2 linked regions of the Tamandua tetradactyla genome follow. The protein of the gene in region 1 interacts with the protein of each later gene in a biochemical or structural test. Links are inferred from orthologs where the notes say so. Each region holds a gene or a part of one and is shown in the gene's direction. Other genes may lie near its edges.

Region 1 (7,790 bases):
TGGTACAAAAGTCAAAGGATTCAAGATAGCAGACAGTGAGATAAGCCAACCCCTCCCCTCTGTTCGCCAACCATCAAGTCCCTTACTAGAATGCAGTTAACGTTATAGTTTCTATTGTATCCTCCCAGAGTCATTTTAGATACATATAGGTAAGTAAGTATATATTTATCTAACACTGTTTTGCACTTGGCTTTTTGAATTTACTGTATCTTTGTGAACCTTCCATGTAAGTACATAAATGGCAGCCTCTGCTTATTAACAGATGTATACTATTCCATTTTATAAATACAGCATGATCTTTTAAAATAAGACATCTCTTAATGGATATTTAGGCTTAATGGAATGTATTTACCAGTACGTTCTACCATAAATGGTGCTGTAATAGATAGGTAATTTTACATATGTGAGTATAGTCATAAGATAAATTTATAGGAATTGAATTGTAAGACTAACAGGTAGGGATAAAGTTTGCCAAAAAGCTTTCCATAAATATCAAACACATTTTTACTCCTACTAGTAACCAGAGATTCTAAAATGGAGAATAAAGGAACCCCTTAAAGTAAGTGTGACTTCATTTACTGGTCTAACCCAGGAGTAAGAACTTTTAATTTTTACCTAAAGTCAAGACAGGAGGTTGATCTGTAGACTTTCCCCTTCTTTCCATGTAGGCTTGCACTAGGTTACACAGTACTGGTATAACTTCAATGCTGCTTTGAAACCTAAAAGGCTTACTGAGTCTTCAAAATCATTTTTGTTCTCCTCTAAAGAGGACACCCCACTCATTCTAAAAATATGGGGTACCTGCCTACCATGAACCAAGCATTGTTCCAGGGGCTGAGGCTTGAACAGTGAATAAAATAGACAAGAATCCTAAGTGAGCCTTAAGGTGCCAGAGGGAAGAACATGCCAGGCAGCAGAATGAGCAAGGTCTGGAGTTGACAGTGTGCTGTGTATCCCAGGAGCAAGGAAGCAGCTGGTTAGTGCTGAACGAGTAAGGTGGAGAGTAAGAGATGTGAGGTCAAAGAGGTTTCTGCTGCAGGGCAGACTGTGAAGGGACGCTCAGTGAAATGGGAAAAGCACTGGAGAATTGTGAACCCAGGGTCACAGTAGTTTTGCATGCTCTACTGAGAACAGAATGAGGGGAAGCGAGATAAGAAGAAGGGTTATCAGTTAGGAGACTTCCTACAAGATAGGGTAGAAATGAGATAACTTAGACTGGGTGAGTAGAAACTGACATGAAATTGGCTTTTGGATGTATTTTGAAGTCGGCATGATTTTCTCTCAGGTTGGATGTTGAATGTGAGAGAAAAAGGAGGCAAGAACAGCTTCAAGTTTTTTGGTTTAAGTTAGTGGAAGGATGGATTTGTCATTTACTGAGATGGAGAGAAGATCACAGGCAGAGCAGTTTCAGGGCAGGGTTTTAGTGTGAAGATGAGGCGTTATGATTATACTTGTGGTTATGCCTTTTCAAGGTTGCTGGGACTTTCAGGTCATAGTTCCAAATTCGATCAGTGACCTGGACTAGACCACAAGTGAAATGTCTTTTCGGGAGGAAGGCTCCCAGGAATATGTGTCCAGGCCATGGTCCTCCTTTTGAGCTAAACTGTTCCAAACCAGGATGGCTTTGAGATTAAATGCTATTTTTCTATGCGGAATACATAATGAAAGGGTTAGGTACACACATACACACTAACACCTTTGAAAACAACAGAAACTTGATTTTACTGTCCACTACAAAACCATCAGAACATGAGCTCCTATTAGAAGGCTCAGCGTCCTTCAGGAATCAAAATTCAATTCTACATTTGCGGATCTATGGGGTGCTCTCAGCAAGGAAGCAATGTTAGAAAAGGTTGGTATAGAAACCATATCCGGGGCAATCTAAAATGTGCCTGACTGAAGAATGTAACTAGGAACTCACTGTACAAAATAAAAACCCAAAAGGAAAGGGATACAGTTAAAACAGTGGTCACTAAAGCACCCCACAAAACAATACCTAAAATGGAATGAATACTCAAAGAAAATATGGAAAGGGGAAGGGAAGCAAAACCAAAATTATGATTCACATTAACTGAGGGAAAGAAAAAAGAACAGAAACTGGTACGAAAGGATTACTTCAAAAGGTTAAAAAGATTAGGGGCGGAAGACGGATTTTCAAAAATCGTGTCCTTGAACGGGAAGCAAAAACTAGCCAACAATTTGAGAGCGCAGAGACCGGCATTTTTTTTTTTCCTACCCAACTCATCAGGCCAGCGCGTACAACTGAAAGGAAAAAACAATTGCTAAAGGAAGAGTAGCTAAGGGAATCCGAACTTGCTTTAAAGCAAGCGAAGTGGTAACCAGACTAGGTGACTCAGGCATGACTCAACCCTGACACTGGGGCTGTCTGTCAGCTTCTGGAGGTGGGGAGCAGCGGCGTCTTACACATTTTAGGAAAGTACCAGGCTCGTGAAGGGCGACACTAAATGTCCCCGGGAGTTAGGTCTGGGGCTCCTCCTGCCTTAGAGTCTGACTTCTTACCCCTTTCACGCCGGGAGCGGTTTCTAGTCTCCCAAGTTCCCCTACTTTCCTACGGACCACTTCTTCCACGAAGAGTCACGAACGCGAGTGTGTGCGAGACGTCCAGCCTCCTCCCTGCGCATCCCGCCACGCGCCCACCGGTCCCGCCTCCGCGGAGTGCCGCTCCCTTTCCACCCCGCCTGCCGCCAGGACACGAGCTGCACGAACAGCGCCCAGAGCTGCACGAGACAAACACCTGTACTGCCTGGGCTCCGCGAGACTTGGGGCCGAGGTATAGGCAACAGCGGGCACGTTCTCGCGAGGTTTAGCGAATTTCCCACGGCCCGTGTTGTGTCTGAGGCGAGTAGTGGAAGGCGGTGGGAAGGAGGTGCAGCGTGAGACTAGGCTGCCCGCATTGGGCACATGCGCAGTGTGGCTCGCGCGTGCCGCGCCAATCCTGCAGCGCCTTCAAGCAGGTTTCGAGCGTATTCCAGTTCTCCGGGTTTTGGGGCTCCCTGTGGGAGGCAGTACAGGATCTGGGAATCTCTAGGAAAGGAAAGGCGGAGTAGAGCGGGAGAGTGGGGGGACCCCCAGGTGCGGGGGAGGGGTGAAGTTCGGGCCCTGCACTTTTCAATTAAATGCTAGGACCGTCCAAAATTGCTCCCGGCTTTCAGACCTTAGGGCTCTCGATGTACGTGGCGGGCAGCTGGCAGCATCCTTGGCTGTGCCAGGCCCATGGAAGGGCCGGTTCCCTGGGCAGAGTTGGCCCTATATTCACCTGGCTCACTCATGGTGGCTGGTGCGTTGGGCCCCTAGAGAGGCTCACGCGGCAGGCAGGTCACTGCACCGAGTGGCAGGGAATGAGCTTTGCGGCCTCTGGCCAGGGCCGTGGTCGGGGGTGGGTGGGGAGGGGCTGTGGTGATAGTGGCTTTCAATTCCAACTCAGTTTACACTACGGAGAAAACTGCTCGGCGCTCTAGCGTGTGTATGTAAGGTGGACATTCTAGATGACTTTGCAAGAGGCCTTGGCCTGACCTCACTTCGCACCCAAGGAGTAGAAGTCTAAGGCGACAGAGTTCAACCACAAAAGTTTTCCGTTTACAGAGCACTGGAGGGGCGGATCACGTTGTAATTATGTTCGGCCCTCCATTAGCAATGGGGATCAAAAGAATAAAGATAGTTCCTTGGTCTGTCACTTGCCCTAACCCCAGGCATATTTGTAGTTCCAGCACCTTATACTGAGGCGTCCAATGAACGTTTGAATGAATGAAAAGGGCTGGGAACCCAGAGTGAGCGGGAAGCCACTTGGAAAACACCCATTTGAGGAGGTGTTTCATCTAGGCCTGTGAAACGCGGCAGATTTTCCCAGGACCCCTCCTCCCTATCCCTCGGCCCCGCCTTCTGACCCCTCCATTCCCCGTCCCTGTTGTAATCCCCTCCAGTTTTCCTCAGTCTCCACGTACGTCCCTCAGGGCACGTCTCAAAACCCGGATAACTGGAGCGCTCCCCATGGACCACACGGAGGGCTCGCCCGCGGAGGAGCCGCCTGCGCATGCTCCATTGCTTGGGTAGGTTTCCAGGGAAGGCAGCAAGCTGGATCCCCTACTCCGCGGGCGGCGCGAGGCGTCTGGCTTTCGCGGCGGCTGCGAAGGGAAAAGGAACTAGGGGGCTGGGTGGAATCGAGGAGCGAGGAAAAAGGGAAGGGGCGGGGGAGAGGGACTAGAGAAGGCTTCGGGGGAATCTCGCGAGGGTTGGAGTTTTGGCGAGAGTTTGTGGAAGATGGCGCCTGTTGTGACAGGGTAAGTCGGGGGAATCCGAGCGCTGCGAACGGGGAAAGTTGCGGGCGTCTCACAGCCCACGGCGGGCGGCGGGTTCGGGTGCCAGGGCGCGCTCGGCGTCGGGGGATCGCAGGAGCGGCGGCGTGTGCACGGAGCCCTGTGGCTGTGCGCTGTCCGCGGTGTGCCGCGGTGGCTCGGGCTCCGGCGCGTGAGGGCGGGCGGCGGCGGCGGCGGCGGCGACGGCGAGGCCGGCGGGTGTGGGCGTGAGTGCGGCGGGGCGCGCGGGGCCCGCGGGCGCTGTGCCTGCCGCTCGCCTCCCGCGCCGCTGCAGCCGTCCGTGGACCCTGCCTCCCAGCTCCGTGCAGCTTTGTTCCTCGCGGCGGTGGTCGCCTCGTTGCCTGGCCGGTGCCCCTGGCCCCGGGCGCTTTGTCTTTCTCCTCTGCTCCTCGCGACCCTCTACCCCCGGCCCTTTGTTTCGCCGTCTTGGGCGCTTTGTCTGACCCGTAGCGCCCCGCATCCCTTTTCCGTCTCTTCTCCTCCGCTCCCTTGCTCCTTTGTTTTGCCCCAGTCTACCCGGCAGTCCAGTGACCTACCACAGTTTAGACACCAGGTTTCTGACTTTTAATTTTTCTTGAATTGTATTTCTCATGTGTTTCCCCTCTTTCATTTCTGCTTGATCTTTCGTCGCCCCCAGAGGCTTTTGTCTCCCCGACCCAGTGGTTTATTTCCTCGCACTCCCCCCGTCACCATCCCGCTCCCATCATCGGTTGATTTATCCACTACCCACGGTGTATGTCTGCTGAACTGTCTCAGCGCGGAGGACTCCATCTGGTGCTTCTAAGGGCAGACCCTGCGGGGTGTTGTTTTAGTGGGTCTGAAAGATGCATGGTGATACTTAGTTTCCTCCCCGGCTCCACTCCTCCCTCCGCATCCCTTTCTCTCGGGATTACAATGTCTTCAGTTTTCTTTGCGGTTTCTGGGCCCGTAGTTGTTTTGCTTGCTAACAGTAGCCCTGGAAAAGAGTCTGTGATGGTTCTTGCCCACCTGCCCCGCCGCTCTCGCCCTCCCCTCGGTTCCGGACGGCCTAGGCCAAGGGCAGCAGTCTGTAGCTTTGCATCTGGGTTACCTGAGGATGGGCGAAAGGTATTTAAGACGTTCAAAGGAGACGCAAGGTATTTTTTTCTGTTGGTGTTTGAGAATAGTTTCGGATACCATGTTAGATACTCATTTGATGTGTAAGTAGGAGTTGCGTGAATTTTGTTGTTAAAAACTTGTGAGTGTTGGGATGGAGAATTTCAGTATTTTCTAGAATGTATATCTAGAGTCTGGTTAACTTTTGTTTTATAAAAAGGAAGGAAGACATTCTGCTTGGGAATTGATTTGATATAAATGTTTTGTTTTTTTCTTAAGCACCAGATAGGCACAGTTATGTGGATTTTGCTCTGTATATTTATGAAAACCCTTCTGTTCCTTTATTCGGGTTGAAATGAGGAGAGCACTTAAGAGTGCAGTTTCTGGTTGATGAATACTGTTTCTAGGATCTTTCTGAACTATATTAATAAAATGCAATTAAAAGTTATATAAGTAATAGTCTTAAGGAAGATTGTCTTAAAGTTAGTTACGTGCATTTCCTAATATGTTAAAGGAACATTACGTGGTTCCAAATTCTCATTGTTACGTTAGTGTTAAAATCTTGGTGGTGGTGTATTTTAATGGCTTGAATTATTCTAGTGCTCAGAATATGAGATATTAGACTTACCAGGATAACTAGAATGAATATATTCAGGGTTTTAAAAATTACTATTTTTCTCCTATTGGCCACTATTTTTAGAAGATATGTTACTTAAAGAATCATTTTGTCATGTCATTTCATTTGTAAACTGATGTTCCTCATAAGATGCTGAGAGAATTTACAAGATCTAGTCTGAGGAATATTGGTGGACTGAAAAACTTTTTTTTTTTTTTGGCTGATGATTGTGGTTAAAATTAGTAATTTAAATTTTAATTAATGGAAATCATAGTTTCGTGATTTATACTGGGAGGTGTATGAAAATTTGCAGTTTAGTTTCCATGAGTGGATTTTACCAATAACCATTTGCTTCCCTTGTTCTTAGTGCATAATCATCCTTTGGAAGTAAAATTGTTGAGCACACTGTTGGTTCTGAATGGAAGATATTTTATTCTGACTTGTACACACACACACACACACACACACACACACACACACAAGGGCAACTTTTACATTTTGCATTTTATTTCTAAATCATGTACTTTTTCGTGACATAAGGCCTTTATTTTGTGACTAAAAATAAAACAGTATCTTTACTAAATTAAATTATATCCAGCAGCATATATAGAAATATACAGTATGAGTTGTAGCAGGAGAACTTTCATTCTGAATATAGACTATAAAATCTTTAAATTTGTCATCCAAGTGTATTGCAGATAGGTCTATGGAAAATTTATTTTCAGGAAAAAATGTGGAGACACATTTGCAGTAATTTAGGATTGATTCTAAATATGCTTCTAGGCATTAAATTTCATGCATTAGGTTTGCTGAAAGGCTGCCTTTTACTCTATACCAACAGATTTCTATCGATATCTTTTAAGTGGCTAGAATATAAAAAAATGGTTTAGATAAAAAGCTTCTCTTGCCACATGTAATTCATTAAATACTTTTTGGGAGACTAGATTGGTAAGGCATTAGAAAAAAGGATTTTGGTAGTTCTTTCATATCTTCTTAATTCTGGTATGTGGTAATTTTTAAATTAAAACTTCGGGTTTGGATTTAAAGCATTATTTTGCATTTTGCTTCCTCCTAATACTAAATTTCAGCTAGGGGCAGTTTTTTCTCATGGATTGACTTAAAGTTGTTATTTTTGGCATCTGGCTTTGTGATTATTTCCAAGTTACTATACTTCCCCTCAGCCAGTTTCCTAACTGTGTAGTAAAATGGGAATTGTAATACTTGCCCTATCTGTACAGGATTGCTGTGCATTAAGATTTGCAGAGAATATCCTTGGATATAAGGGATGGTTGGGGTCTAGGAATTGTTGCTGAATAAGTAGGTCATGTTTTATAGGAAATCAAATGAGAGGTTATGAACTCTACTCGGTTCTTGGCAAGTTACAGTGGTGATGGTAGGATGAAAAAAATCCGAATGTGTATTATAGTTTGGGTAATAAAGCAGATACTTTTTATTCTTATAAACTTGAGGGAGAGGGACATGTGAAACAAATGATAGGGTGGTATTTTGTGTGTGTGTTTGTGTGTGTGTGTAAAAGATTGAAGATCTGTCAAACCTAAATGTAATAACACATTGTAACTTATGAGATGACTTTCTTCTTGACTTCTTTCAAAATAAAATAGTAGCATAAAATGTTTTCACAGACTCTAGGCCAATTATTAACAGTAATGACAATTTTAACAATACTTTTTTTTTTTTAATGCTTTGTCATTTACTCTCAAGAATATTTCTGACAATTAGGGCTCTATTTGCAGACTTGAATCTTG
Region 2 (7,765 bases), on another chromosome or scaffold:
AATACCATGATTAACATTTGTGAATATCTTTCCAGTGTAATTTTTAGTCAAATTTCACAAATATTTGTAAATTTTATTCTAAATAGGATTCAGCAAATATTTCCTTAGTTCAGCAGCAGTATTTCCTTAAATATAGAGAAGAGTTATTTTTGGCAACTTTCCAGGGAAAAAGTATGTAAAAACATAAGGATAGATTTTGTAAAAGAAAATAATCAGCCTTTATCTTCATGTTTTCTGAAAAACTAAATTTAAACAAATTATTTAACTTTTTATAGGTTTGACCAGTAGATTTAAAATGTTAGTTTGCTGAAAGAATTATCTAGAGATGTACTAGCAAGCTAGTACTTATCAGCTGATTGGAGTTATAATAATTTATATGTAGATCATTTCACTAGAGTGTGCTTGCTTTCTCAGTGAGTCTGTTAAGATTGCAAACACTCTGATAGTAGTATCATATCATTAGTGTTATCTGCTTTATTTCCTACTTTTTAAAAAAAGACTGATTCTAATAATAGAAAGGGAGTTTGCAGTATTTTCAAGTTCTCACGTGGTTGGGGCTTTGATCATTTTAGAGCAAGTTAATATATTTTTATATAACATCTTCAGGAACAGATGCTTTTATTTTAAGTGTACATCATTATTATTAAACAGTTTAATTTCAGTAGCTTGGGACCTGATTTGTAAAATATCAGGTTAAATATCTGGTGACTATTCTGTTTTCCTGTTTAAATAGCAATATGTGTCTGCTCTGGTGGCCAGGTTAGTATTGAAAAGCCCAAGTTTGAGACTCAGATGCTCAGATGCTTTCCCCAACTGGCTTCCGTTATGCATGGCTGAACTCTTTGAGCATGTCTAGCATCCTAAATACAGGCGCTCCTCACAGTGTGAAAATAAGACCTGATTAAAAACAAATCTACTTTAATTGCCCTTTAATTCCCCTTTTTAAATGGCTCTGCTTTAATGTCACCTTTCTGAGTGATCTTTAGTACTTATATGAGGACAATCACTTCACCATCCATTTATCATACAGAGGAAAGACATTACCCCTACTTTTTGACCTTTTTCAATGAGCATCGATTGTTGCTTGTTAAAATAAGATAAATATAAAGTCATCAGAGAATAACAGAGTGGGTTGCCTTTCTATTGAAAACATACAAAGAGGAATTCTTATGAAGAAATTCTGCTCTTGTTAATATTTGTAACAAAATTGCAAATGGAATTTTTAACACTTAACCTAGGGCTGTTTCCATTACACTGTGATGTCTATCATTGACATCATCAGTGTTTTAAAAATTTCCCAAAGTTCAAGGTAAAGTAGTGTTTGCTATCCTTAAAGAATTAGTATCCTGAAAGAATTCATGCATGGGCATGACTTTTATAGAAATGGGTAGAATTTCAACCTGAATTGCTCATTTTAGCTCCATATCTAAAGGCTAATTTTCCTTTTAAAAAGTTTGTTTAAATGAAATTAGAGTAGCGTTTTTTTTGGCATCATAGGAGCATATTACAATTTTGAACAGGAAAGAATTAACATTTGTTTTACTCATTAAATAATCTGTATATCTATTTAGACTGATAACTATTGACACATATAAACCTAGAATTCACTTTTGAGGTGTATCTATTGGATTAAAATAAAAAACTAAAATGGATACTTCTTTTGCTGTTTTTGATGCCCATAATTCTGAAAACAGGGAGTTTTCTGGAAATTAACCCTTCAAGAGAATTGGAGTGTGAGGTTCCATAAAATAATGTTTAACAGGATTTTTGCTTGCTTTTAAGTTGTTAGATAATAGTTTCTGGGTTGTTTTATACATTTCTGGTAAAATGAGAAATTTTATCTTAATTTGACATTTGCTTCTAATCTTTTTGACATTCTGTGATCTTTAAGAATCTTTGAGAGAGGTTTAACTCGACTTTGCTTAACAATTTGTACATTAGTAATCTTCTAACATAATTTCTTCTTTGCCTATTTCGAATTTAATTATCAAAATTAAGTTATCTACTCAGTTTTTTACATGGGGAATAGCTGTAGAGCAAGATCTTTTTAAACTAACCTAGGAGAATGACATTTCATTTTGTATTTAGCTGTTAAGCATGCTGCTTTTTATTTTCACTTACTGTCCTCTTATTTTAGTACCATGGAGAAGGTATTATGAATACATCTTAATTAGTTCTTATTTTGTTCTAGTTTATCCTTTTATTGCTCTGTGGGGCTCATAGATGTATATAAAATACACATTTAATCATTAAGTAGTTTCTCTTCCAATAATTTTGCTTTTAAAAGAAGTTTAAACAGTTTTTCAGCTCTTGACTCTTTCTTCATGATTTTAACTGAAGTCTACACTCAAGGTAAGGTCTGCCCTTTATTTTTCTAATTCCAAGATACTGTGTTCCGAAACCTCCTCTTTATCAGTTGCCCCTTGAAATATAATTGAGCTGGGCCTCTTCTGTTTTCATGGTGACATGAGAGAGATTTCAGTTAATTTAGAGCTTATCAGGTTTTAAACGAGTAATTTACATTACATTTCAAAATGTATCTGAAAATGTGGTTGCTTGTACTGAAATTAATGCCTCATTGAAAAATGCATGTAAGTCAGTGCTTGCTAACTACAGTCACATGCAAGGTATTATAGTTCATGAGTTTAGGTAATAGTGTACTGACTGCATTTTACAGGTGTTAGTTGTCGTGAAAGTGGAATGACCAAATGTAAGTAGCCAATCTTAATGCAGGTTGAGTTGTTTTTCTTTTTGTCGAAGGAGGAATCAATTCTAAAATATTTTCAAGAACAGAATTTCCATTTCATTTAGTTACTTTTTGGGTTGCAGGATGATAAGGTCAATCTCCACAGTGGCATTAAATACCTTAACTAAATTATGAATGTGTGCCATGATTGTGGTGGTGCTTTGTTTCCAATTTTTTTAGACTTCCTTTTTCTTTCTATTTAGTCTTCCTTTTTAGACTTCGTTCCTGCTTCTTAACTGAGGTTCAAGTCAATAGTCCAGGAAAAAAAAATGCACTGAGATAGAAAATGAAAACATAAGGTAGGACTATATCATATAAAATAAACCAGTTATAGTAGTAGCTGGCCAAGAATCTGAAGTTTTAGAAGTAACTTGTCAAAATTCCAAAATCAGTTCAATGGAAAAATGTCAACCAAGTTTGCAAGGCTGTCCCCTGAGCTAGAGCATCTTGGACAGAAATTGTTGCAGTTGTGTAAAGGGTGGACTTGCTTAGCCTTCTGAATGTCTTGAGAGAGGGAAAAGAATCTCAGTTGACCAGAGTTGCTGAGATTAAATTTATGAAATACAGTGTAGACTAGTAAACTAAGTACAGGAAAGTCTGATGTGATTCTCAGGTAGTTGTATGCTCTCTCTCCAACGCAGTCATGAAGAAAGTTTGTTATACAAACAAAAAACCAATGTGAAGCTTTAACTTCTGTGGAAGAAAAGAAATAAATATAAACAGGTAACCCCAGATATTAGCGCTGAATCATCACTGGTTATGGTGACAATATTTTCTTATTAAAGTTAACATAGTTTGATGATATGTTGGTTTGTTACTTAGGGGGACAATGAATAGGATTAAATATTTAAAACCTGGCTTCTATCTTAAGGACCACACCTCTGATACTATTACTGAAGGTGAAAAATGGAAAAGAAAACGGAGTTGCTGACTGTTCTATTCTAAAAATTCCATTTTTCTGGACTCAGTTTAGTAAAGTTGGCTTTACTTTGTGGGGGCTTACCCGGATTTCGGTAAGCTCGCTTTTTATTTATTTTTAAACATAACATACAAAAACGAATATTCTTACCATATGATCATTCCATTCTTGGTATATAATTAGTAACTCACATTATCATCACATAGGTGTGTATTCATCACTATAATAATTTCTTAGAACATTTAAAGCTCGCTTTTTAAATAAACTTTTATATAAAGTTCAACTATAGGTTTCAAAATTCCATAGTCCATGAAAGGCCAGTGGTCTAATCCCTTCCTCTGCTTCCCAGTAAAATATTTAATAATGACAAGCACATACTAGACATATAACTGTTTCATTTCACTTCTATTCCTGGTATACCGTAACGATCAGCAAGGGTATCTTGAAAAAGGTTTCGCAAGATCCTATATAAAATAAAATTGCTTCACGTTACAAGCTAATGATTCTTGGGAGGGATGGGTTTCTATAGCCGTCATTGCTTAGTTGGGCGGTGAGAAGAGCGGCCTAGTTCTGACCACTTTCCCAAGCAGGCGGGGATCCAAGTGCCCGGAAGCGAAAAGACGCTGCTTTGAAGGGTGTACTGGGGAGGTGACCTGGCTTCTTTTAGTAGAAGCTGCTGGCACATGCAGCCCTGTCAAAATCAACCCCATTTCTCTCTTTTCTTTCACCAGGCTAGCGCCTGGGGACGCCAGTGCGAGGGGACAGAGACAGTTCCTGCCTCTCCATGCTCCGCGCCCGGCACCGCCCCGCGGCCAGCCTCCCCCACGGCTGCGCGCCTGCGCACCAGGACAGAGCGCGCGAGCGTTCCTTCCCCGCCCCGCGTTCCTCCCTCCCCCGCCCGCCCCCGCGCGCTTGCGCGCCGGCTGGGAGGCTTTCGGATCCTCTGCGGGCCGGCAGGCGGGCGGACGCGCCCGCAGCGAGGGGAGGTGGCGAGAGGCGGGCCGCGCGCGCGCCGGTGGGAAGCGTCCGGCTGCCACAGCGCCAGCTCCGTCGTAGTCGCTGCCGCCCGGGTCCCGCTCGCCCCTCCTCCCTGCTCCCCCCTCCCGCCGCCGCCCGGGCGCATGCGCCACCGGAGCGCGAGGGTCGGCTTCGGGTGTGTGGTGGCGGCAGAGCTGAGCTGCGGAGCCCGAGAGTCAGAACCTGGGGGAGAGGGATGGTCTCTGCACGGGGGGGAGCCGGAGGAGCCGCCGCCGCTGCCGACGCCACCGCCGCAGCCGCCGCCGTCGCCGCGCCCGCCTCCTGGCGCTGACTGTCTTGTACGAAGCCGGCGAGGGAGAACCCGCAGCAGCGGTCGCCGGCACACCGTCCAGCATGGTCCGGGAAACCAGGCACCTCTGGGTGGGCAACTTACCAGAGAATGTGCGGGAAGAGAAGATCATCGAACATTTTAAACGGTGAGTGACACGAGGGCCGAGACCGCGCTCTCACCTCGGGCGCCGCTTCCCGCTCCGGCCGGTTGCCTGCCCTTCCCCGTGCTCGGAACTGGTGAGGAGGACCCCGGCCCCAGACCCTCGGGCGGGTGCGGAGCGCGCGGGCTGCCCTCGTCAGCCGCTCGGTCCGCGTCCCGGCGTTGGGCCTCGGGCCTCGGCGGAGCCCGGGCCGCCGAGCCGCGGCCGCGAAGGGCGCCCGCGGGGTCCCGGCTGCCGCCCTCAGCCTTCCGAATAAGGAGACTGTTGTTCGGCCTCCTCGAAGCAGGCGTGGGGTGGGCTGCCTCAGGGTGGCGAAGACGCCGGTCGGAGCCACACGCTCGGTGGAGCTCCCTTGTGGGGTCGCGTCCTTGCGCGCCTGCTGCCGCGGCGAGCCGCTCTCCCGCCTCTGGGACGGCGCCTTGCCGCCCGGCCCGGCGAGACAGAAGCGAGAGGCGACTGAGGGCCGCGGGCGGACCGGGACCCGAACCCGTCCCCGCCTCACAGCCCTCCGGCGCGGCAAAGTCCCGAGTCCCGCAGCAACTAAGCTTCCCGCTGCGCGGGCGCGTAAAATGTCTGGCTTCAAGAGGTTTTTGTGTGAAAGAAAAGATCATACAAAACCAGAAGTCTTGGTAGGTAATGAAGGAGTATCTCTGAACTGGAAAGACTCTTCTCGGGACCTCTCACACGTAGGATCTGTAGACCTAGACGCTCTGTGGAAATGGCAAATTAACATTTTGTCTTTTTTTTCGGAGTGGAGTAGAGAATGATGTCAGAAAATGAGTTGGTGCCTCTGTTTGGACTCTTTCGCCTTCCTTCTTGCAGCCCTCGTCAGTCTCTGGGTGAGGAGGATGCTGGAGCTAAATGCTTGCAGGGTCCGAGCAGCCTCCGGTAGAGGTAGGAAGGCAGGCGCTGGAGGGGAAGCCTCTGCCGCTGCGGCTGCTCTGGTCTTATAATTTTCTGTCTTTAAAAAGGACGGTCTTTTCCTCCATCCGAGTTCTTAAATCAAATGGTTAAAAAAAATGCAAGCCTGTTAAGACTGGAAGATGAAGCTTTTTAAGCCTCCCTGAATATTTTATTTGTCCTTGAAATATAAGAGTAGAGTTTGCTCTTGATACATATTTATTTAGTAGCATTTAGCGCTTGTTTTCTTTGTGAAATCTATGTGTACCGTGGCTGATAAAGGTTTCAATATAAAACACCTAAAATAACGACTTACTGAGATACGGTGCAAATGGAGGATCATTGCAAATCTTTATGATCGTCCTCCAAAGTTATTGTTCTTCCGATGTTCAAGACCCTAAAAAGGTTTTGAGTTTGGTTTGCTCTTAATTCTTCTTACTGTTTAGTGAGTGAAAAAAATTATGGAGCGTCCTTATTAGTGAGTCACCATGGGAAAAATAGATTGCGTCTCTTGCTCTTAAGCCACTTGGATAAGGAAATGGAAGCAGCGGCAGCAAAGCTCCTCTCAGCCTTTTAAATGGAGGATCATTGATTCTGTTGGTGGTTGCTGTTACTGGGGTATTAAATCTTCACCGCTGGAGCGCGCCTTTGCGCGTGTCCGCGTGTGAAAAGGAGTTGGGAATTGTGAGACCATTCATAACCTGCTAAAGCTGTCCTTAGTAGGGTTGGTGGGGGGGGGGCGGTGCGCGCTTCTAGGGACTCTCCCTGTGTTTACTACGTTGTGCCTGAGGAAGCTGGCGAAGGGAAGGCAGGGAGCAAAGATTCGCCTCTGTCCCCCTGTGATAAAGAGGAGATCTAGGGCTCCATTGGGAAGCTGATGGGAACTTTCTCTTCCTGGCGCTGCTCCACCCCTTTCCCCGCCCTCCCCCGCTCAATATCTTCAGTGTTTTGGTGGAAAAATCATTTAGGTGCAGATTATTGGAGGGTATAGACAACTTAGATGTGCTCACTTTTACCTCCTCGTGGACTTTTCTCTGTCGGTCTCTGGGAATTTTGCTTGCACCGACGTGCAAACACGTGCATCGCCTCATTCTCTTTGCTTCTCGGTGATATGTGGCCAGATGTGTCGTTTTGCATTATGCAGATTGCAGAGACTTTGCATGTTTGTCGTGGGGAGTTTGACTTCTCTGCAAGATGAGGGGGTAGGGAAAGGAAAGAGGAAATCGACCAGGGGACTTTGAGAAGGTTTTTAAGTGGATGGTGCTGTGGTCCAGCTTGTTTGAATGACTTTCTAAAATGGCGGCTAGGACCCACTTTATGTGGGAATCTGCCGAGCAGATCTCAGAATGCATAAAAGGAGGAGGGGGTGGAGGATGCTAGCTGCCTTGGAAAGCGGCAGTCTGGAGACACATTACTATATTTAAGAGGGCTTAGCTGGTACATTGCTCAAGACTGCATTTAAAGGAGTATCTTACCTATTGCAGAGCAAAAGCAAATGCTTTTGTTAAAAGCATGTAATTTTAAAACTAAGACAGTGTGTCCCTGAAACTCCTTTATTTTAAAGGTGACTTTTTCATTTTTAAACAAATGTATCTAATCTTTTGAGTAGTATATTTGTAAGCTTTCAAGGAGCATACAAATCTACATAGAGAATAATCTCCCCTTCACAACTGACCTTAGACTTGCCCCTTCCCATTTCTTCTCGCCAACAGGTAATCTCTCTTTCTTGTT

What was found. The genes of interacting proteins can lie anywhere in the genome.
Region 2: the proteins of RBPJ (region 1) and SPEN form a complex in vitro, tested with the Homo sapiens proteins (2 studies listed by BioGRID and IntAct). The link is inferred for Tamandua tetradactyla from reciprocal best matches to the Homo sapiens genes RBPJ and SPEN.

What each region holds. Positions count from the first base shown.
Region 1 is NC_135345.1:26,658,162-26,665,951, forward strand, and holds the start of RBPJ (recombining binding protein suppressor of hairless), read left to right. Parts: upstream 1-4,724; 5' UTR 4,725-5,069; coding exon 5,070-5,449; intron 5,450-7,790. UniProt on the Homo sapiens protein: Transcriptional regulator that plays a central role in Notch signaling, a signaling pathway involved in cell-cell communication that regulates a broad spectrum of cell-fate determinations.
Region 2 is NC_135328.1:210,041,915-210,049,679, reverse strand, and holds the start of SPEN (msx2-interacting protein), read left to right. Parts: upstream 1-4,765; 5' UTR 4,766-5,036; coding exon 5,037-5,119; intron 5,120-5,601; exon of another isoform or gene 5,602-5,763; intron 5,764-7,765. UniProt on the Homo sapiens protein: May serve as a nuclear matrix platform that organizes and integrates transcriptional responses. In osteoblasts, supports transcription activation: synergizes with RUNX2 to enhance FGFR2-mediated activation of the osteocalcin FGF-responsive element (OCFRE).